3 linked regions of the Medicago truncatula genome follow. The protein of the gene in region 1 binds, or shares a complex with, the protein of each later gene. Links are inferred from orthologs where the notes say so. Each region holds a gene or a part of one and is shown on either strand. Other genes may lie near its edges. The genes, in order: thioredoxin-like protein CITRX, chloroplastic; fructokinase-like 2, chloroplastic; fructokinase-like 1, chloroplastic.

The links.
Region 2: the proteins of thioredoxin-like protein CITRX, chloroplastic (region 1) and fructokinase-like 2, chloroplastic are in contact, whole or in part, in a cryo-EM structure (PDB 8XZV), measured with the Spinacia oleracea proteins. The link is inferred for Medicago truncatula from reciprocal best matches to the Arabidopsis thaliana genes TRX z and FLN2. Residues at the interface, in XP_021862427.2 of Spinacia oleracea: Tyr73, Lys77, Ile83, Thr84, Val87, Arg88, Phe99, Tyr100, Thr102, Trp103, Gly105, Pro106, Ile108, Leu109, Gln112, Asp131, Asp133, Tyr136, Phe138, Ala139, Arg140, Asp141, Met142, Gln143, Val144, Arg145, Gly146, Leu147, Pro148, Tyr151; in XP_021858068.1 of Spinacia oleracea: Gln218, His219, Ala220, Phe221, Val222, Pro223, Ser224, Gly225, Arg226, Pro227, Ala228, Arg230, Leu231, Ile232, His234, Gln235, Ile236, His237, Leu240, Lys241, Ala243, Phe250, Ile251, Asp282, Tyr283, Thr286, Trp308, Ala310, Met311, Ser312.
Region 3: the proteins of thioredoxin-like protein CITRX, chloroplastic (region 1) and fructokinase-like 1, chloroplastic are in contact, whole or in part, in a cryo-EM structure (PDB 8XZV), measured with the Spinacia oleracea proteins. The link is inferred for Medicago truncatula from reciprocal best matches to the Arabidopsis thaliana genes TRX z and FLN1. Residues at the interface, in XP_021862427.2 of Spinacia oleracea: Tyr73, Val75, Lys77, Ile83, Thr84, Val87, Arg88, Tyr100, Ala101, Thr102, Trp103, Cys104, Gly105, Pro106, Cys107, Ile108, Ala111, Gln112, Lys129, Asp131, Thr132, Asp133, Asp134, Tyr136, Phe138, Arg140, Asp141, Met142, Gln143, Val144; in XP_021865197.1 of Spinacia oleracea: Gln111, Lys112, Glu113, Phe114, Val115, Pro116, Ser117, Val118, Arg119, Val120, Ser121, His123, Gln124, Met125, Asp126, Pro127, Asp128, Ile129, Tyr130, Trp133, Met136, Gln137, Pro141, Phe143, Asp175, Phe176, Lys201, Ala203, Cys204, Ser205.

Annotation. Positions count from the first base shown.
Region 1 is NC_053042.1:14,273,466-14,281,375, forward strand, and holds the start of thioredoxin-like protein CITRX, chloroplastic, read left to right. Parts: upstream 1-4,891; 5' UTR 4,892-5,007; coding exon 5,008-5,232; intron 5,233-5,334; coding exon 5,335-5,457; intron 5,458-7,910. UniProt on the Arabidopsis thaliana protein: Thiol-disulfide oxidoreductase that plays a role in proper chloroplast development, most likely through regulating plastid-encoded polymerase (PEP) dependent chloroplast transcription.
Region 2 is NC_053046.1:19,649,901-19,657,127, forward strand, and holds the start of fructokinase-like 2, chloroplastic, read left to right. Parts: upstream 1-4,127; 5' UTR 4,128-4,260; coding exon 4,261-4,301; intron 4,302-4,577; coding exon 4,578-4,921; intron 4,922-5,016; coding exon 5,017-5,669; intron 5,670-6,753; coding exon 6,754-7,225; intron 7,226-7,227. Other genes in the region: folate synthesis bifunctional protein, mitochondrial, read right to left, coding at 197-1,677, 3,156-3,222. UniProt on the Arabidopsis thaliana protein: Required for proper chloroplast development, most likely through regulating plastid-encoded polymerase (PEP) dependent chloroplast transcription.
Region 3 is NC_053045.1:6,419,036-6,426,450, reverse strand, and holds the start of fructokinase-like 1, chloroplastic, read right to left. Parts: upstream 3,039-7,415; 5' UTR 2,949-3,038; coding exon 2,253-2,948; intron 776-2,252; coding exon 83-775; 3' UTR 1-82. UniProt on the Arabidopsis thaliana protein: Required for proper chloroplast development, most likely through regulating plastid-encoded polymerase (PEP) dependent chloroplast transcription.

The sequences.
Region 1 (7,910 bases):
TATGCACCGACGACGTAAAATATTTTTACACATATATCTAAGCTTTTAAAATGTCTCAACATATAACTACGTGACATGATATGATGGATGTATGTATAAAAAAGTATTTAAGTTGTTAATAGGTTTTTACCCCCTGTCATTTGGGGTTTTTTGGTATACCTCTGTCAAAATTTTTTTTGGAGATTCCCCCTGTAAAATGAAGATTCTTTGGTTTATACCCCCAAACCATATGACTGGATTAATGAGATGATGTGGCACGCTGATTGTGCACTAATTAAGGAGGTTGCAGCTGACGTGGCTTTTTTTATTTCTTTTCCAATTTTTTTTTTCTATTTGAATTTCTTTTATTAAAAACTTAATTTTATAAATTAAAAACATTAAAAAAAATTATTTTTTCTTTTCTCCTCCATTTCCTCCTTCCTTCTCTCTCTCGTCCCCATTCTTCCTTCTCTCCATGTTCTTCTTTTTACTCCCTTCTCTCTCATTCCCATTTCCTCCTTCCTATTCTCTTCGTTGAGCAAAAACATAGCCAAAAACATAAATAATACAAATCAAAACAACTTTTGGATCCAATCAAACAACATTAATAACACACAAACAAATACAAACAGATTCAGATTCAAACAACAACAACCCATTTTTTATCAAACCCATTTTTCGACCCATAAACAATATTAATAATATTTTTCGTATTTTTTCTCTTCGGATTTATGGATTAGAATTTTAAGACCTATTTTGAGACTCTTTTGCTTTTATGGGTGAGAAGATGAATGTTTGTGATTTGGGTTGTTGTTGATGATGTGTTGTTGTGAGTTTGAAAAGAAGATGTTTGTTGTTGTTGTTTTGAATTGTTGTGTTTGTTGTATATGATGAAGTAGAGAAGAATAGAAGAAGAGGATCGCTGCTGGAGGAGAAGAAGGGGAGAAAAAGATTTGGAATTTTTAATTTATCATTAGGGGTATTTTAGGTATTTCACATTTTTAACATAATTTTAACAATAAAAAATAAAAAAATTATGACGTGTCGGTGCCACTTCATCCATCGTTATACAGTCAGCACGCCACATCAACCAAATTACACAGTCAGATGGACTCAACTCAGGGTCCAAAATCAAAGAATCTTCATTTTGCAAAGGGGAATCTCCAAGTTTTTTTTTTTATATGGGGGTAAACCAAAAGACTCCCAAATGGCAGGGGAGTAAAAACCTATTAACCCTTAAGTTAAATATGTTTTTTAGTTTAGTCCTTACTTAATTTTAATAGATATTTTAGTCCTTATACTTTTTTTTTGCACACGGGTTTAGGTCCTTGATAAAACAAAATTAGTTAACTCCTAAATTTTTAAACAATTGTTTTCATACATGTTTATAACATTATTAAAAAACCCAACTAAACAAAAGCTCAAAATTTGATTTCTATCCCCATACTCTTGATGATTAAAAAATTAGACAAACAACCATTTCATATACTACAATGACTAACGAATTTTGGAATCATCGACTACTTTTTCGTGTTTTCTTTCAAGTCAAATACTAGTTTGAGAGCAAAGATATTGGGATTTAAACCTCAATCATAACATCCAACTAACAGAGTTTAAACTAATGTCAGGAGACTACGTGAAGAATATATAAATATAATGTCAACACATAGTCTCTATAATCATTTTTTTAACTTTCAAAAATAATTCAAAACCTTCTTTTAAAAAAATATTTAAAGAAAAAATACTCCCTCCGTCCTATATTATGTGACCTAATTGACCATGTCACGTATGCCAATGCACAATTTCAAATTTAAATATCTTTAATAATCTATTAGAAAAAAAATTATGAAAATTTGATATTTTAAAAATAATCATCGAAACGAATCCAAAGATTTTTTTTTTTTTTGAAGGAGAATCCAACATCTTATATGCTATATTTTGTTTTTATATGTTAGTAAAAAAATAGAGTCAAAACATGTATTATGAACGGTACACGTTTTCAAATTAAGTCATTTAAAACGGGACATAAGAAGTATATTTTTTAGGTACACGAAATAACCAAATCATTATAAACACTCACACAGACAAGTGGAGATGTTAGGGTTCGAACACCTGTCATAACATCAAACTAACAATTTTAACATTTTTATCTCTTGAGTTAGAAACATCTGCAAGTAGAGAATTGTTGTTGACACATTTCATAAGGCTGAGAAACACAAGTAAAATACGTTTTTGCCCCTTCGGCAGTTACTGCCGAGGAATTAAAAACTGGCTGCAGTTAACAGCCGAGGAAAACCTCGGTATTAAACAGCCGAGGATCTTCTGCTACAAATCTGGCAGAAGCTCTCTCATCTATTATTCATCTCATCTTCCAAAAAATTTATCAAATCTCTCTAAAAAAAACCTAAGCAAATCCAACCAAATTTATTCAACAAAATCACAAGTAAGTAATTATAATGCTATTAACTTACATTTTAGTTGTTATAAATGTTTTTATCTGTTAGTTTATGAGTAGATTTATTATTTTTTTAGTTTTTGAGTAGATTTACATGTTATAATTAATTTTTAGAGTAGATGTTAGTTGATTAATGTTGTTAAAATATTTGCATGATGTTTATGTTATACTTTAGAATTTTAGGGTTATATTTTAATTAGGTGTTTTATATTTTTTATTTTATTTTAGTAAGAGTATGTGATTTATTTTAAGAGTAAATATAAGTTGAATAATTTTGTTATATTTTACGTTATAATAAAAAAAATTATGTTAAACATAAGTTGAATGATTTATGTTATAGTATATGATTAACTTTTTTATTTTAGTAAGAGTATATGATTTATAATTTTAGGGTTATTTTTATGATTTTTGGAGTCTATGTATAATTTGCACATCAAGTGTTTGATGAAATGTTTGAATGAGTTTTTCATTGATTGTTTTTAATTTCTTATTGTGTAGATTTGAAACAATGGTCGGGTGGATCGACGTTCGTGCACAATTCAACGGCGGAGAACCTCAGAGGTTGAAGGTTCGGCGCCTTGGTGTAACTTTAAGAGGTCTCAAGGATGAACTGACTGAATTCAACAAGGAGTCAACCCCAGAGACGCAAGGAGGGTGGAATACGTTCAGTATAAACGTCCAACACTCGACTAGGGGAGAGTATCATTCACTTGGGTGGAATTAACGAACGACGAAAACGTGACGAGCATGTTTTGGGAGCACAACATGTTCCAGTGGATCAATATGCGGGTGACATTGCTGAGATCAATTGAAGATATCATCAAAAGTTTGATTCCGCCATAAGATCGTCATTAGGTACGGAATGAATGCACCTTCCAGCTACAACAATTGTCTTCCTTTGAATGGGGTAATTCAAACTTGCCAAACGGCAGGTCTCCAATATTCGACCGACATTCCCATTGTTCCTGTCAAAAGATTAAATTCTTGTTAGGCTGATTTAAATGAAGGTATTGAAGTGTCAAGGAATGGACCTCATTCTTTTGACATTTGAATACCATCATTTAATCCCAGACTAACAAGAATTTAATCTTTTGAATGGAACATTGGGAATGTCGGTCGAATATTGGAGTCATGCTGCTTGGCAAGTTTGAATTTACTACATTCAAAGGTAAAACAATTGTTGTAGTTGGAAGGTACAAACCTCTAACTACAACAATTGTCTTCCTCTGAATGGGGTAATTCAAACTTGTTAAACGGCAGGAATCCAGCATTTGATGAGCCTCTTGAATGCTGGTATTCAAGTGTCAAGGAATGCACCTCATTCTTTTGACACTTGAATACCATCATTCAAGATGCTGATTGGATGTTGGAGTCTTGCTGCTTAACAAGTTTGAATTTGCCCCATTCAGTGGTAAGATAATTGTTGCAGTTGGAAGGTATATTCCAGAATGTAATATAATGCAATGTAATGTGATAACATATATAGTTGAATATGCATAATACATTTTGTTTTGAATGGAAGAATAATTATCTTATTTATTCACTTTTCGAATTTATTTATTCATTACACAATTTTAATTAGTTGAATTCACGTTAGATTTAATTAGTTTTTATTCGAATACACAATTATTCAAAACACGACTTTAATCGAAATTATTCCAAATGCGATTTTATTCTAAGTAGCATAATGCCAAACAAAATGTGCGCGACACGAAAATAAAACATAAACAAAATCCAAAACAATTAGACATTAAAAACCATTACATTCATTCTTCCTCGTCACACAAGTTAATCGGGTTGCCCGCTACAGTCCCTGGGGCACCTTGTTTTGGTTGAGGAACAAAATAGCATGTCCTCCATCTCCTCCTCAACCTGGAGTGATTGTACACCGGCACCTTCAAACCCTTTTTTTTTTTCGGAACCATCACAAACAATTTTGTGTCATGTCATAAGCGATTTTTATTTGTTCTTCTCATCACCCTCAACGTTACCCCTAATTCTGATTTGAGACATATCTACATTAAAAAAAAATGGCGATCAAAACCTAACTAAACAACAATGCCATAAAATCGTAAAATCAAAAACTAAACCTAAACCTAAACTATCATCAAAACCTACACCTAAATCTAAACAATTCTAACAATTCTACAACGATTCATCAAAACCTAAACCTAACAATTCAATAAAAGTTCTCTAACAATTCTAACCAAAACTATCCTAACATATCATAAAATCAATAAAACCTATATAATCGAAATTTAACAAAAAAAAAAAAAAAATTCGATCCCAAAACAACAATGCAATATGATTCAAAAAAACTTATTTATTTTTGTGATTGAAACTGACTTGGAAGGACCTAAAAATACGTTCAAACCTCAAAATGAAGTGAAATCTAAAACACAGAAAGTAACTGTGACTGGTGAACTGTGAAAGACAAACCAAAGAGACCTATCTATCTAGTTCTAACTTCTAAGTACAAAGATAGATATGATAAACCCCTTCACTCAAAAACCCTCTTTCTCTTTCCGCACTCAAAAACTCTCTCTTTCTCTCTCTAAAATCTTCCATCTTCAATGGCTCTCTTCCATTCCTACACTCTTCCACATCACAAAATATCAACTCTTTCACCCTTTTCAACCTTCTCTTCAAAACCTCTCTCTGTTTCTCCCTCTTCTTCTGCTTTTTCTTTTTCAACATATCAACATCCTTATCCTCTCACCATATCCACCGACTTCAACAATAGAAAGTTGCTTTGCAAACCACCTAAAGGACAACATATTAAAGAAGACTATCTTGTGGTATGTCATTTCTAATAGCTTTGTTTTTTTAATACTAAATTTGGGTCTGTGTTCTTTTTTTCTCTTGTGAATTCTATGTTATAAAAATTTCAAATTTTGCAGAAAAAATTGTCAGCTGAAGAAATTCAAGAGCTGGTGAAGGGAGATAGAAATGTTCCTCTTATTATTGATTTCTACGCGACTTGGTGTGGTCCATGCATCTTAATGGCTCAAGAACTTGAAATGGTATGAGGTTTAATTGATGTTAGATTCCGAAAATGCTTAACCATTGCTCCTGTCATATGTTTTTTTAAGATGACCATTTTAGTTTTTAATAGTTTTCTAGATTGTTAAAAGGGTTAGTAATCATTCACCAAAAATTAGATTAAAGTATTCAACTCCTTAGAATATTTAGGCCCGGTTTGGATAAACAGATTAATTTAGCGCATATCGCATAAGCGTTTATCATATAATTGTTTATATGCTACTTATCAAACAAAATATCATCATAAAATAAAGTAAATTGTTTTTATATAAGCTGTTTTCATTAGCTGTCCTAGAGAGCTTGTGAAAATAAGCTGAAAATGGCTTTATGAACATGTCACTGTTTTCATAATCTCTCCCGAACAGTGTTACAAACAATTGCTTATCCCAGTCAATAAACTCAAATAAGCCAGTTCAAACTTAAAGATTTTCCTAGAAGTAAAACAGACTAGTAGAGTTTAACTTGCCTAGAAGTAGATTCAATTTGAATTGATTATTGGCATAAACTAACAATTAATTGTAATAATTGAACTCCAATAGATGGTATAACTATAATGACATGCTTTATATTTCATATTTTCATTTGTGTTATATTTTAGATTTGTCGTGTGAAACTACTAATTTCATTAAAATTGTCCACTGTGGTATGAATTTGAAATTTTATTCATTTGCCTGGACCTCAAAGTTTAAAAGTATCTATCTGTTGGAAAGTCTGTTTGGTTGATCAATGACAAACATATGTTGTATCTATTGCAAGAGCATTGTTCTCATGTCAAAATCTTGCATTACTCAGGTTGAGTATTCATGATGTTTATCAATCTTTATGCAGAAGATAACATGGTCAGCTAGGTCTTGTATTCTAAACTATATTTAGGTTATTCTTTGTACACGAGCTTGAAAATGTGAGGAGAGTGAAAGGTTTTCATACTCTTTTATTGATATGAAGTGAATCATGTTGTTTTTAATTAATAGGGGGAGGCACTTAGGCCATGTAAACTGTTCCTTCGTAGATTCGAACACAGTCCCTTGCTATTACAATTTACAAGGCTAGACAGTCACCATTGGATTGAGCTTAACTCAATTCTACAAAACTGGTTTGAAAGATGACAGATGCCTCCCACTTATATACTCATTTTCATTTCCTATCTCATCTAATGCAAGACTCGTACCTCCCCATCACGCTTAGGACTAGACATTTGAAGCGTAACATGACTGCGAGTGGCCCATCAGATCTTGGATAGACTCTGAAGGCATCATATAATGTGGATTAGGCCTAACTAAACCCTACAAATCCGACTTTTAAGGTGACCGATGTCTCCCACTTATATACATATTTCCAGACCTTATATCGTCCAATGTGAGTCTCTTAACAGATTCCATCATCATCAGCCTCTTAGTGGGAAAAGGATGAAGCCAATCTTGGATAAATGCATTGTTACTTAATTTAGTGGGAAAAGGCTTTGGTTGTTATTGTTTGAATGTATTGATGTTGAGTTTGACTCACATTCATGATAAGTAGGCAGGCGCTTGACCGCAGCATAGGGGTAAACTTGTAATATGGAATGTAGCATTTAATCACAACTTTGTACTTTGTAACCTTAAGCAATGCATAATAGAAAACAACAACGGCCACTTTGTTTTTTGTAGTCGTAGGCTCAATTGACCAAACTCTGTGATCAACTGTTTCTGTCTTTCGTGCATTTATTTATCTGTCTACTTTAGAGTCGGGTTTGCTGTTCTAGCAATTGTTAAAATAGAGTTGGGATTCTGGTTTCCTGCAAATGCAACAAAATGAGCTTAATTCTGGAACTTGTGGAATATTCTTTGAACAGGCTAATGCATATGTTTTTAGATTGTGAATTTGTGATGACTCAATCAATGTTCCATTAGTCCTAGTTGGTTTTGTTGTGAGTTTTAATTGCAATGCTGCAAATTCACACTACACAGTTGTAATTGTTTTACAATTTATGCATCATTTTGTTATGGAACTTTAACAGCTGCAGTTATGAAACTTTTTGCTAACTCATCGTTTTGTTCCCTGCATACTATTTTCCATGAATTTGACTACGACGCTTTTGTAATTGCAATTTTGGTCCCTAAATTTTTATAATTTTTTACACTTTTGGGGACTAAAAGTGCCAAAAATCCTCAAAATTGAGCGACCAAAACTGTAAAAAAAAAAAAAAAAATGTGTGCATTGTGTAGGGACCAAATTCGTGAAAAATAAATCGGAGTATCAAAGTCGTGAATTTGAGAAAACGAGAGACAAAAATTGTATTTAAGCCGTCATTCTAAATAACACTAGAAAGAAATGACTACAACTTCGCAACCAGTTTACAATCAAAGTAATTTTACTTTTACATATGTTCTACTGAAATGTTAAAGCCATAACTTGTATAATAGTTATTATCCTTTGTTGAATATTTTTTTTTTTA
Region 2 (7,227 bases), on another chromosome or scaffold:
AACTCAATGTAGTACATGCTTCTTTGCTCTTGCAGTGTCATCATTGTAGTGTTCTATATATGACACTGGAGCAGCAGCGAGACATGGTAAAAAACAGTACTAGTATTGTTTCATGAAGCCAAACACACAGACAAGGAAGGTGGCATGGGAACCACACAAAAAAAAATTAGCACCAAAACAGTGATAGCAAGACAATTCACTGTCCAAATTTCACCGGACAACATTTTTGTCTTCGAATTGCATCACAAATCTTAATGGCATCTAGATTATCTTTGACATTATGCACTCGAACGATATTAGCCCCACCCAACACACAGGCAGTAACAGCAGCAATGGTAGCAGGATCCCTCTCAACTGCAGAAGTGCGAGAGCAAATTTCACCTAAAAATCTCTTTCTTGAAGGTCCAATTAGTATAGGAGCATGAGAGATTGCCAAACTTCTTTTTGAAAACTCTGCTCTAATATCAGGTATTCCTGCAAGGACCTCTAAATTGTCTTCAGTTTTCTTTGAGAATCCAATTCCAGGGTCCATAATAATCCTCCACGCCGGGATTCCCGACATTTCTGCCTCTTTAACCTGCGCGTATAATTCTGAGGATATATCCTTGCAGACATTATCATATTTCAGGTTTTCATTATTCTGCATTGTACACGGATCACCCCTCATGTGCATTGCAACATAAGGAACATCAAGGTCTGCCATGACCTTAAACATATTTGAATCTAACTTCCCGGCAGATACATCATTTATAAGATGAGCCCCTCTGCGCACTGCCTCTGATGCAACTTCGGAGTAGAAAGTATCCACCGATATGAGTTTTCCTTCTGCCTCAGGTATTGACATTACAGCTTCCAGTACAGGGATTAATCTACCTAATTCCTCTTCGACAGAGATCCTCGATGCCATCGGCCGAGTAGACTGAGCACCGATATCAATTATATCAGCACCCTCTGATATCATCAACCGAGCCTGCGAAACAGCAGATTCCACAGACCGGAAATTTCCCCCATCACTAAAACTATCTGGAGTCAAATTAAGAACCCCCATGACCAATGTTCTTTGCGACCAATCAAGCAAGCCATTTGCAACAGGCATTACCCTAGTCATACCTTCCTCTCCAATAAGGGATTCTCCACCTAATTTTTCCCATAATGCATTTAGTCCACCAGAATGGCCTGAAAATGAATGCCAGCTAGCAACTGTATCATTGTCAACAGCTGTTCCCAGTAAATCCATCAAAGGGGCCATGACAAAAGGTCGTTCCCAAATTCTTTCATGAGGTACTGTGAGAATATCAGATCTGACTTTAAATTTACCATAGAATAAAATGTCTAAGTCCATTGGCCTTGGACCATACCTTATACCGTCAGTACGGCCCATGTCCTTCTCGATTCGTTTCAGTGCAGACAATAATTCATGTGGCCCGAGTTTAGTAACAGCTCTTACTGCTGAGTTCAGGAAGCGAGGTTGGTCAGTAACATACGCTGGTGCTGTCTCATACAGACTCGCATGTCTTGTAATGTTTATGCCTGACTTTCTCATCAATTTCAAGGCTTCCTTGAAGTTCTGTAGTCTATCGCCAACATTACTTCCCAAAGCAATCACTACTTCCTCATCTTGAGTGTGAAGTTCAACAGAGGAGTTTGGAGCTGTGTGAAGAGATGACAATCCGAGTACTGCAAGGAAAAATAAAATAAAAAATAACATTTGTAAATAATAGGCTTTGATTGAGTATGCCAAAACTGATGAACTCTGATAACCTTCTTTCTAGATTGATTATATCCTTTTATTATGAAACCTTGGCAATACAAAAAACCAGTTTATGTACTGTCTGTGGATTAGAGAGCTAAAAGAACTTATTTCTTAATCGCATAAATATAGAAGTATTGTAGGAAAACCAAGAAAAGAAACCACCCTCTCCATATCTCCACCCGTGAGTATCAGTAGATGACAATGTTTGGGTTTAAGAACCTTTAAACAAAGAAAAAAAAATATTCACTAACCAAGGCCAGCTCTAAAAACAAGGCCCTAAAAATGTGTAGTTAATAGATTTTCTTAAAAAATAGTATCATCATCTTATTACGACTCTCTTAAATAATTTTATTTTATTCACCTCTTTAGTTATAATAATTCAATAACTAACTTTACATTTCAAAAAGTTCAAAAAATAACCTTCAAATCAAACTTTACAATGACTTTGATCCCTAAATCTCATTCTTGCACGGAGAGAGATTGACAGAGTCGGAATGGCTTGTAGATGTAATGTTATTATAACAAGTTTGAAGATGGTGAATGGTGGTAGAAGCTGCAGCCTGCATGCTTCACAAATTATAATTTTTAGCTGAAAACGAACAAAAAAGGCTAGAGTGGAGTGGAATGCTGATTTTATTTTACAGAAAAGGTAAAATGTTTAGTGACTTTGGGATGTTGGTTTTATTTTACAGAAAAGTGTATAGAAATAGCCATAAATTACTAGAGCATGGGTTTGAATGGCTTTTTGAACGTTGGATACGGTCTAGTGTGCTTTCTGGGTTGGATCCACATGTTGAAGAAAAGTGAATATTTCTGTTTAGTAATCGAAGTTTTATTAAACTAGAGTTAAGTGTATGCGCCTTTCTCTCTGTTTACCACTCTGTTCTGTTCTCATCTTTTTAGTTTTCTGCAAGTCAGACATATTTCATACTAACCAAATTTACTGGTAAAGTCATTTGATTAAAAAACAAATCACATCTCAAGCCAATCCTCCATCACCCAAACCCCTTATATTGACAACTCCTCATACACATATTTGGTTTTGCCTTTGAGCAACACTATGCAACCATCACATCACTCAACACAGATTCACATAGCATTGAAAAGAAACAAACTTCAATCCAGTCTTTCTTGCTTTCCTATATCTATATGGTTTTAATTTGTATACATCGACGGTCTAAAACTTTTTTACACATGCATCCAATCAAATTATCTCATGATGCCACTTTCTTAGGTTGATTCCTAAAAAAACTCTAGAAATAGTATAATTTGATTGGACGCATGCTTAAATTTTTTTTTTTTTTTTTGCATTGCCAGTGTATTGAAACCAATCTCTTCCTATATTAGATGATAGAAATTTCAGGGTTGTACACAAAATAGCAGCTTCTTTAAGTTGCATTACCTTTAAGGTAGTTTCTTGCAGCACAGAGCTGACTCCTGCGCGCGCTCAGGTACTTAAGTATACTCATCTGAGAAAGGCTTCCCGAAGTGTATCGAAGCCAATATCCTAAAACTCTTGAGCTGGTACAAACTGAAATCATGCATTAGTCACAAGAGAAAATAGTCAGAAAGAATTCACATTATCCCAAAAAATCCAATTTGTATTGAAATTTCATGCAATAGCAATAAAAAACAATAAGGCATTATTCCAATTTAGTGAATCTCACAAAAAAATAATAGTCAATTGCATAATAAAAGCTTGGATATTTGTAATTTGTAATATGATATAACACGAAAAAGAAAAAGAAAAAGAAAACAGATCCAGAAGCCTTTGAGGCATATTATCAAACACATGGCATGATAAGAAGTAAAAAGAAATGGCCATAACTTACTGAATTGATGATTATTTTATGAATCATGAGTTGGCTTGGAAGAGGAATGCACAGAGAAAAAACATTCCTAAGCACCTATGCAAGAAGGAAGAAAAAGACTAAAACCCCTCACTTTTTCGTTTGTTTAATGGTAACGCATGTAAACCATAAAAGATAACTAGTTTTGTTTTTTTTGAAAGATAAAAGATAACAAGTTAAATAACAAGAAGTTAAATGAAAAAATAATAATTAAAAGAATACTTATATTAATATAAGTAATTTTTTAATTATTACTTTGAGGTTGCAAATTGCAATTGGATTTTGATGTTTCCGTATCCTTTTCTTATTTATTAAATGAATAATAATAAATAAGATAAATAAGAAAAAGATACGGTTTAATTATTGTTGTACAGAAATTTAAAGTAAAAATGACATGAGTATGAAAAAGAATGTTGACACAAAAATTATCATCAAATGGATGTTCAAATATTATTTTTCTTACCGGAGGGTAATATGTGTTTTACCGAAGACCCTTATCTCTTTTAAACCCCCTTGTCGTTTTGGTCCTTGTTAAACCCTTCACCTCTTTCTCTCTCTCTAAAGCAAATCTTCTTCTGTTCAAAACCTTAGCTAGTATGTTAAGTGTGATGCCTAAACAGAACACTAACCTCTCTTTGTAACTCAATTTCTTCTCCAATGTCGTCTCTTTCCTTTGCTCACTTTCTTCCACTTCCCAGGTACCCTTTATCTGTAGTCTTAAAAAAGTAACAAAAACACTTTTCTTTTTCTTTTTTTTTTTTTCTTATCCAATTTTGATTTTTAATGAAATGGGTAGCATGAATTTTTTTTCAATTTTGCATAAAAATATAATTCTTCTAAAAAAGTTACTTTTTTTATTCAACTTTGCTGTGTGTGTGTTGGGTTTCAGCTCTAGTTTTGGAATTGAATGTTAGTGTATAATTCTTTTGCTGGTTGAATTTGAATGTGTAACTCTTGTCTTTGCAAGTGTGCAGGTGTAACTTGACTTGGTCTTATTGCTATGCTTCTATGAACGTAGTTCAACTTGGGGGTCTCAAAATTCAGTGTAAATCTGGTCATGTTGCAATGGCTAGGAAGAAAGCTTCACTAGGATCTGTTGAAGAAGAATCTAGTGAAAATGAACCTGTGGTGGAAAAGAAAGCAACTAAAGCATCTAAACCTAAGAAGGTGTCGGCAAAGACTAAGAAAAAATCAATAGATGAGTCTCCTGAAGGGGCAATTGATTTGTTGGTAAATGTAGATAGTGCGTCTATTGTAGAAGGCTCATCTCCCTCTGGGGATGGTTCTGAGAAGAAAACACGAAAGACTCGGAAAAAAGGTAATCTAATCGCTTTATCTGTCTCTATGTTAAGAATTTTATGTGTGTTTTTGTTTTGTTTATATGTGTTAGTTAAACCTTGATATGGTTTATAGATGCATCTAGTTCTGCTGTTTTGGAAGAAGAGAAAGAAGTTAAGGAAGTGAAAAAAGTTACAAGGCGAAGGAAACCTAAAGAGGAGAATATAATTTTAGAGGATAAAGGTGGTGGTGAAGCCGAAATCAGTGACATAGACGAGCCTTCCTTTATTGAAAATGTGGAGGATGAGATTGACGATGGTTTGGATCTGGAAAAATATGATGGAGAGGACATAAGTGATACCTACGGTTGGCCTCCTCTTGTTTGTTGCTTTGGAGCTGCACAACATGCTTTTGTGCCTTCAGGTAGGCCTGCCAATAGGCTTATAGATCATGAACTCCACGAAAGAATGAAGGATGCCCTCTGGAGCCCTGAGAAATTTGTTAGGGCTCCCGGAGGTTGTGCCGGTAGTGTTGCCATTGCTCTTGCTAGTTTGGGTGGCAAGGTTGCTTTTATGGGAAAACTTGCAGATGATGAATATGGTCAAGCGATGCTGTATTATATGAACGCAAATAATGTTCAAACCCGATCGGTCAGCATTGATAGTAAAAGGGCAACAGGTGTGTCACTGATGAAGATTGGTAAAAGGAAACTTAAGCTAAGTTGTGTAAAACCCTGTGCTGAAGATTGTTTGACAAAGTCAGAGATAAATATTGACGTGTTGAAAGAGGTACGGAACTAGAAACTCATTGAAGAAAATGATTTTTAAATGAAGTAAATAGTATTCTCTGTTGATTATATGTTCTAGTCTCATCATTGGTGATATAGCAGCCTTATTGAACTTGAAATTGATGTGCTTTTCTACATTTGATAGAACAGTTTTTTTTATGTTCTATACTACCTCTGTCCGTATTTGTAAGTCCTTTCATCATCATTTTAACAAATATGCAGTTTCATCATCTTTCTATTGTAATTGTTATATACTACCTCCATCTCTATTCACAAGCCCCTTTCATCATTTTCACATATATATTAAAAAAATAGGTATTGTATCTAATATGTGTATGACTGTTACTAAAATAACCTTTTGTATATAAATGTGTCAAACCCTAATTTCTCATCTCTCCAGATATATAAATTAGTAGTATTATAATAACGGGTATATTTGGAATAAAGTAATAAATGCATCTATTAATTTGAAATGGGGCTTATGTTTAGAAATTAATTTTTTCGTTCTAAGATGTACTTATAATTAGGGACAGAAGTAGCATTTTACAACGATATTGTCTACTGCAATGGTGTGTCGTTACGATATTAGTTACAAGCATGCATACATTTAAGCAAAAAAGTAGAAACATGAATGATTCTGTAGATGGCTTCATTCTTTTTGAACCAACTATCCCAAAACTAAGCTATTTAGTGAAAACACTTGAATCGTTGTAGTATCATGCCCTTTCACACAATAATTGTTTGGGCCTGACTATTGACAGAGCAAAGACGACTAGATGTACCCTATATTTCTTTAAATCTATCATTTGTTTAGAAACATGGCGACAATAAGGATTGGACCCTAGGACGACTTGGACATAGAAGCTTTGGTTGCAAACCATAAACCAAAAAGTAATGCTGTTGGTTGAAAGCTCGTGAATAGTTTTATACTTAACAGTTAACATATAAGGCATGTTTGTTTGATTGTATGTCAGATTCTCTGTATAATGTATGCTTCTACTTAGTTTTTTGTTTTGTTTTAGCTGCTTGGGAGTTTAGATTATTACTAAATGCTATTGAGTCTATTAAGAACACATCTCATGCAGGCAAAAATGTTCTATTTCAACACACATTCCCTCCTTGATCGTCACATGAGATCCACGACATTGCGAGCTATCAAGATTGCAAAGCATTTTGGAGCAGTTGTTTTCTACGATGTAAACCTTCCTATGCCACTATGGCACTCTCAGGAAGAAACTAAGACGTTCATTCAGCAAGTGTGGAATCTTGCAGACATCATTGAAGTCACTAAGCAAGAACTAGAGTTCCTATGCGGGATAACACCATCTGAAGAATTTGACACCAAAAACAATGCCAGGTCAAAGTTTGTCCATTACGAACCCGAAGTAGTTGCACCACTATGGCACGAAAATCTTAAGGTTTTGTTTGTGACTAATGGAACTTCCAAGATACATTACTACACCACAGAGCTCGATGGTGCTGTTAGCGGTATGGAGGATGCCCCAATTACCCCTTTCACTCGTGACATGTCAGCATCTGGAGACGGCATTGTTGCAGGT
Region 3 (7,415 bases), on another chromosome or scaffold:
ATAAACAATGAAACAATTAACTACAATCTAATGCTTAATGACACTGCTAAATTTTCTATTCTCGTTGCACAAACAATTTTTATCACCACATTGAAGGTACATAAACTTGTTCTTTCAGATTCTGAGCAGCACTTTCAGTAGGAAAACCTCTAACTCCACCGATAGTCCATTGCGATATAATTCCGGCTGCAACAGCAAAACGTAGCTGTCTCTCCAAAACATCTTGGTCTTCAAACATTTCTGGACAAGTGGTTAGTTTTCTCATAATAGCAGCCACAATAGCATCACCCGAGCCAGTTCTATCGCAAGTATAAGGAGTTATGAGCACGTCTTCTGTTCCAACCACAACCCCGTCAAAGGAAGGGGTATAATAGTGAATTCTAATTGTTCCATCGGTCACAAACAAGAACTTAAGACCATCATGCCACAAAGGCGAGATATCCTCGGCAGTATAATGGTAATACTCTTGATGATTCTTGGTTTGTTCGTACTCTTCGGCGTAGTATTGTGGTTTATAATTTCTCTTCCTCTCATAATGTTCTTCGTCTAGAAGGAATTCTAGCTCGGTTCTTGAAACTTCAATGATGTCTGCTTCTTGCCATGCTTTCTTGATTATTTCTCGAGTCTCGTCGCGTGATCTCCACAGAGGTAATGGCAAGTTTATATCAAAAAAGACAAGGCCACCGAACTTCTTAAACCACTTAATTGCTTTGAACAGAGTTGATTCCATAGAAAGGGATGTTAGAACTTCTGAATTGAAATGGAAAATCCTAGCCTGCAAAAATAGTCCATAGAAAAAAGTTACAACAAATTTTATTCACAGAAGATTATTCCTCATACATTAACAACCTATTACCATTTCAAAAGTGTCAATAAAATCAACTTTGGGATGGGTAGAATTGATTTAAGAGAAGCAAAATTTTATAGCTTCCCAAACTCTACATGTGTGACTTATAAGTGATTTACACTTCATAAGTGATTCCAATTTATCTTCCAAACAAAATTCATTCAACATTGTAAAAAATTGCTCTACCTTCCAAAATGTGAAGTATCAAAAATGATTTTGCCTCATGTCAAGACGCACTGTAAGAATACTAATGTTGGTTTACCTTACACACAAAATTGCCTCTGAACCTCAATTTGACAAAGAGTTACGAAAAACAGCTTTGACATTTGATTGACAGAATGATACTAAACTATATATCAAACTTGCCTTCACATTCGGTGCAAAAACGTTAAAATATAAGCCACTTCTCTTCAAACTCATTGTAACATATTCAATATTAAAAGAATCAACTTCATACAATATCACGTTTAATGAACATTGTTCCAAATAAAGGCACAGCCATCTTCCTCATACATTAACAAACTTTCACCATTTCTAACCGTGTTATTATACCACCTAACCTAAAAGAAAAAGTTCCCTTCCCTAAATAACATGAAAACAAAGCATGATTATACTTTTTTAGCATGGTTATCAAATTGGGATACTAATTGCGAATGAAAAGACCAATTCAATCATGAATTAAATCTCATTATGAGTGGTATAACATACGTCACCAATAAAAATATAACATGGCATTTTTTAAGTAAAAACAAATGACAAAGCAAAATTATAAATTGATATATTATATACAAACCTCAAAATAATTTCATAAATCAAATGACAAAAGAAAAGTTGCCGAGTATAAAAAGATGACTAAAAAAAAGAGCTTACCACACTAAGTTTGAGTAATGACTCATTAGAATGAGTCGGGATTCGTCATCATGAATCAAGATTTAACTTACGAATTGAGATTTAAGATGGAATTCATGTCAGAAACAGATACACTCTAGAGATTCATATTGAGTTCATATTTATAAAGTCCAACTCAGCCCAACAAAATCGGTTTGTACAGTGCGGAATGTCTCCCACTTACGAACACATTTTAAGACCATATCTCATCTAATGTGAAACTCCTATCAAACCCCATCACAAAGAAGATAGCACATTTGGAGCGTGACCTGAGTGGCCGATACCTCAATGAATCTAGAATAGACTCTAATACAATCTTAAATTTTGGGTTGTACCTAACTTAACCCAACAAAACTGTCTTCTAGAACAAGGGATGTCTCGCGCTTATAAACACATTTTCATATCACATCTTACCTAATATTAATAACTATGTTTTTGAGTAAAAAAATAAGCAAATATAAGTGTCAAAAATAGTAACAATTAACAATGCAAGTAATTTAAAGCTAAAAAACAAAACCTCTTTCAAAACAGCAAGATTCAATTCATCACTCCTAAGAGAATCCTCAGCACATTCCTTAACAATCTCCATCCCCATCTTCCCATCATCATCAAACTTCACCTTCATATAACTACACCCAGTCCGAAACCCCGAATCAAACTTCACCCCTCTAGTCTGCACCTTCTCCTTATTCATCCCCAAAACAATCTCCTCCCCAAACTCATCCTCCCCAACTTTCCCCAACAAAGCCGCCCGTCCGCCAAGCCTGACATGGGCCACCGCCACATTCGACGGCGGCCCACCAGGTGCTCGCGCAAACTCCGGCGGCTTCCATTGTAACATCTTCCATTCTGTGTATATATCTGGGTCCATTGGAAACTCCTGCACACGCACCGTAGGTAGAAACTCCCTCTGTGCTGCTCCGAAACAGCATATTAACGGTGGGTCATCGTATGGGAAATCAATTCCGTCGTCGTAATCTTCAAATTCTTGTTCATGTTCTTGTTCTTGTGTTGTGTCGTTTTGAGGTGTGTTGTTTTTTTTGTTGCGTCGTTTTAAGGTTTGGGATTGTGTTTCTGTTGTGGAAGCTTTAGGAGTTGTTATGTGTCGTTTTGAGGTTGTTGTGTTTGATTTAGAAAGGGTTGTTTGGGGTTTTTGAAGTGAGGTTGTTTTTGGAGAGTGAAAGAGAGGAAGAAGGAGAATTGAGGAGGACATTTTTATGGGTTTGGATTATTGGAAGGGTTTATCATTCATTTTGTGTAAGAAAAAAATGCTATGAGTTTTGAAATTCTGTGTTATCCAAACCACCTAATAAAATGGGTGTTTTTTTTTTTGCTACTTTCAAGTTTGAAGGATGGTGACAAAAAAAAAAAAAGTTAAAGAAGTATAACTTACATGATTTAACTCGCGTGGGATATACGAATGTAGTGAATGTGGCCTAAGTCACGTTGAGTTCAACATCTTAGTGACTTAAGTCATGTGGATGGTATTTTGGGAAGTTCAGTTGGGAGTAAGCAAATCTTGATGGGAGAAGAACAATTTTCATCAATATTAACACTCTTTTCAATGGTTTCTATTATATTCACATTTTTATTTATTGAGCTATTCCGCTTAAACAATGTATAACTCAATAGTAATGTTAAGATTGTTACATTTTACATTGTATGTGGTTATTCAGATTCAAACTCGAGATCTTTTATTTGTGTATGTGAATTTTATATGGTGTTTGACACTATATATAAGAATTTCATGTGAATTTCATGCCTAATATTGATGCATATATCTTTACATTTATATCTGCCTATCTAAGAAGTAATTAGTTAGTAACTAGCTAAAGATACCAAAAGAGAGTTGACCCTAGTAGTAAGTACTTAAGAGGTGACATTATTAATATCGAGTAAAATTTGTTGAAGCTAGGATGTAACTAGTTATTAATTAAGGAAACAAGCGACTCTAGGGAGGGAACCAAACCTAGTAGAACCATTCTCCTCGATCCTTGGTAAGGTAGACGCTAATAGGGCTGCCCATTTGTAGAACTACCGAGAGGGAGAATGTGTTATGAGATACCTAATATTCATATATGGGAGAACCTTTAGGAACATTGGCCTTAATTGATTTTGAAAATTTAGGAATGTCAATTTAAGTTTATGTTTCAATTACTTTTGAGGGAATAAGACCCCGCACGTAAGGATCGCCATGTGATTAGCAGGTGCAACTCAACATTGGAGGGATAAACCTAAATCAACTCAACCCAAAGAAGGGTAAAAGTTAAACCGTAAATCTGCAATGTGTTAGGGCAGTTAAGAATTTGACAATTACTTTTCTCACCCTATGACCTTCTGGCACACCCTATGCAAATTACGAAAATGCCTTTCGGATTATAAAATCCGGAACATGAATGCGTGTTCCGGAATATAAAATCCGGACAACTGCGAAGTATAAAAGGAACTTCACCCCCCATTTTTACAGTTTTATTTTTACAGAAGATGGATATATCGAATGGTTTTATCGACATTCTCATCCACGCATGATTCTTCATGATATGCCGCTACCGGTGCCGAGGCCACCGGAGCGTGAGATCCTTGATGCGCAAGCTACTCAGGAGGATGGAGACCTTGCGTACCTACAGCTTAGCGGAAGGATGAGCCGCATCAGAGACCACATCTATGATGTGATGAGAAGTGGTCTCGTGCCGAAAGGGACTGTGGAATGGCAGCATTTGGAGGATGCTTTGAAAGAGGTGCATGATGAAAAAGTTTACCGTCACCGGGGAGCCACTGAGGGTGGCAGAGGTGGTGGCTGGGGTGGTGGCAGAGGTGCTGGGGGTGTAGTTATTAGGGATTGATTGTATTTTATTTACTTTTAATGTTTGAACATCTTGGATAATTTTTGGTGATGTAACATTTGAATATTTTTAATGTTATGTAATCTTGGATAATTTTTAATTACGTTTGTTTAATATTATGTTTGCAAAATTATATTTTGTTGATGATTATAACTTCAATTTACTGTTAGAACATGTCTTCGATTTACAGAGGCTCAGCAAAAACAAATGGCTTATGCCTTTGAACCGATGCATTCCGGATTATAAATTCCGGATTATATAATCCGGAACCATCATTCACCACCCCGTTTTATTGACTTTCAACAGGGTGATTTACACCTTTCGGATTTTATAATCCGAAAATTCTCTAAATTGTTCGGATTGTATAATCCGGATCCATCTATTCATAACTTTACATCTTCATCCATCAAGATGATGAAGTGCCAAAAACCACAAAACATTCCGGATTATATAATCCAGACTGTGGATATTTTGGGGAAAAATAGGGCGCACGAGGAAATGCATAGGGTGGAAAAAGTAATAGTCTAAGAATTTTGGATAGGTAAGAAAAGCGATCGGGTACGGGTTACTTCATGGTTTACCACGTAGACCTTTGATCCAACGGGTATATTTACGCAGACACGTTGGCAAGAACCGCTTCAAGCCGTTAGATATCTTCCTCTGGAAAATTCTTTGTTATAAGAAGTGGGTTTCTTTATTTCACTTTCACTTTCAGTTTCAAAACCTCGTAGGTTGCTCCTTTCCCTTCTTTTCCAACAGGTAAGAAACTCATCTCAATTTCTTATTATATTCATTATTTATTCAATTTAATTTAATCTATTATGTCTTCTTCATTTGATTAATTAACTTGTTGGAGAAATTTAATTTGCCATTTATCATCACAGATCATATGGGAATTTTTAGTGATCACTGGTGAAAATATATTTTTAGTTAGTCTGGTTTTTAGTTAAGAAACTTGTGGGTATTGATTTGTTTAAGATGCTTATTCCTTAATCTGTACCCCTAATCTAAAGAGTGTCTGTGTTTAATAGAAGGTGAGTTTGATGAAATTACATTGACACCATAGTTTTTTTTTTTAAGTCCTAAAATGTAGTTTTTGCCAAAATCACGGTGGTACCATATTATTAGAAACTTCAGATTTCGAATTTGGTACATTTAGGGAAGGGAATGTATGTACCAATAGAATTGCCAATGCTGGTTTCTTTGTAGATGACTTAGTTTGGTGGGATAACCTTCCTAGTTGATCTTCCCAATTGCTCTAGAGAAGCCTTTTTAGAGATAGATTCGGCTTGTCTATTTTTGAAAACTTGGTATCTGGCCCAATGATTGAGTAAACTGAGGGGTCCAATCCCACCGTCCACGTGCGGGTGCCTATTTAAAGTCAAAGCTGTCAGAGCAAAGCTTTTTATGGACTAACCCATTGAAATTGGCACTGGGGGGGATCAAACCTGGCCAACCCAAGTGGGTTTAGATCTGGCTTATCTAAATTTTGTTTTTGTTAGCCTTGTTTTGGTGGGTTTGGTTTATGCCCCCACCCTTGTTTTCTTTTTCATTATGAATAATACTTTTGGAGGTGCTATTGGTGGTATATTGAGGTGCCAATGTTTCACGTTGACAGAACAATACCTGTGATTTTGCATTAAAAAAACCGATGGTACAGCATTATTCCGCCAAACTTACCGTCAATCCAAGTTTTTTAGTCCCTATAAATCTACAGACATTTCAAGTTTATTCCTTTCAAAACTGTTATCCATTTTATCCTAGCTTTCATAAAAACAAGGTGTCTTTAGTTCCTCTGCAACGAGATGAACTAAAAAGTAACAACACCTTATTTTTTTATATATAATGTAGGTCTAAAAATGTATAAAATCAGAGATGTGATGTCATGCAACTTGTCTGGTGATTTTGTGATATTGTAGTTGTACCATTGTTGACTAAGAATCACGTTTTGCTTTATTTTTCCAACTTTGATGTATTTTACGGTGATTTTAACTTTGTAGAAGAGATTAAGTTCATTATAGTGAAATTTCTGTCTATATGGCAGCTTGGAGCTCTGTTGTCTGGGGTCCATATTGTTCTCCACATGATTATTTTGTGGGGATAATTTACATGATTTGTCCATGATATTTTTTTGATTTCACTGACATGTTCACATGATATTTGGTTTTTCTATTTGCGATTTAAGGTAATAACTTGAAGGGGGTATTGTTTTTTATTAGAAATTAGAAATAATTACATTGAGTTCTTATGAGATGTTTGAACATCTGAGATGTTTCAATTGCTATATGTTTTTCACTGCCCTGTGCCATCTCATAGTTGTGTGTTGTTTCTAAACAATTGAGGTAGTGAAGTTGTGGTACTTAGAGAATGAGTGTTTTTGAGTTGTGATAATTGAGTGATATCCAAAAAAACAGATGGTGAATACCTAAGAAATAATTGAGTGAAGTTGTGATACCTAAGAAATAATTGAGTGAAGACGAGTATCATATTGCACAACCTTCAAGATTTTTATGAGTTCTCTGTGGATTTTAAGTCAGCAAGTAATTTAGTATAGTTTTTTGAAGGTTGGTTTTGAGAATGAGTATTTATGGATCTCATTGTTTTTATCTAATATTTAAAATTTTTGTTGTTAATTTTGTGTCAAAAAGTAGAACGTTATTCTAGTTTGAGTTTGCATTCCCATCTAGCTGAGAGGATAAGAAAAAGTTGAGATGCATTTTATTGTCATGTTTGAGGGGCATGTAAAGTTGTCGAGGGAAGGGTCATCTTCCCAACATCTCTTTCTATTTTCACCCAGAGAAATCTTATGATTGTCAATTCATCAGATAGCGGCTATA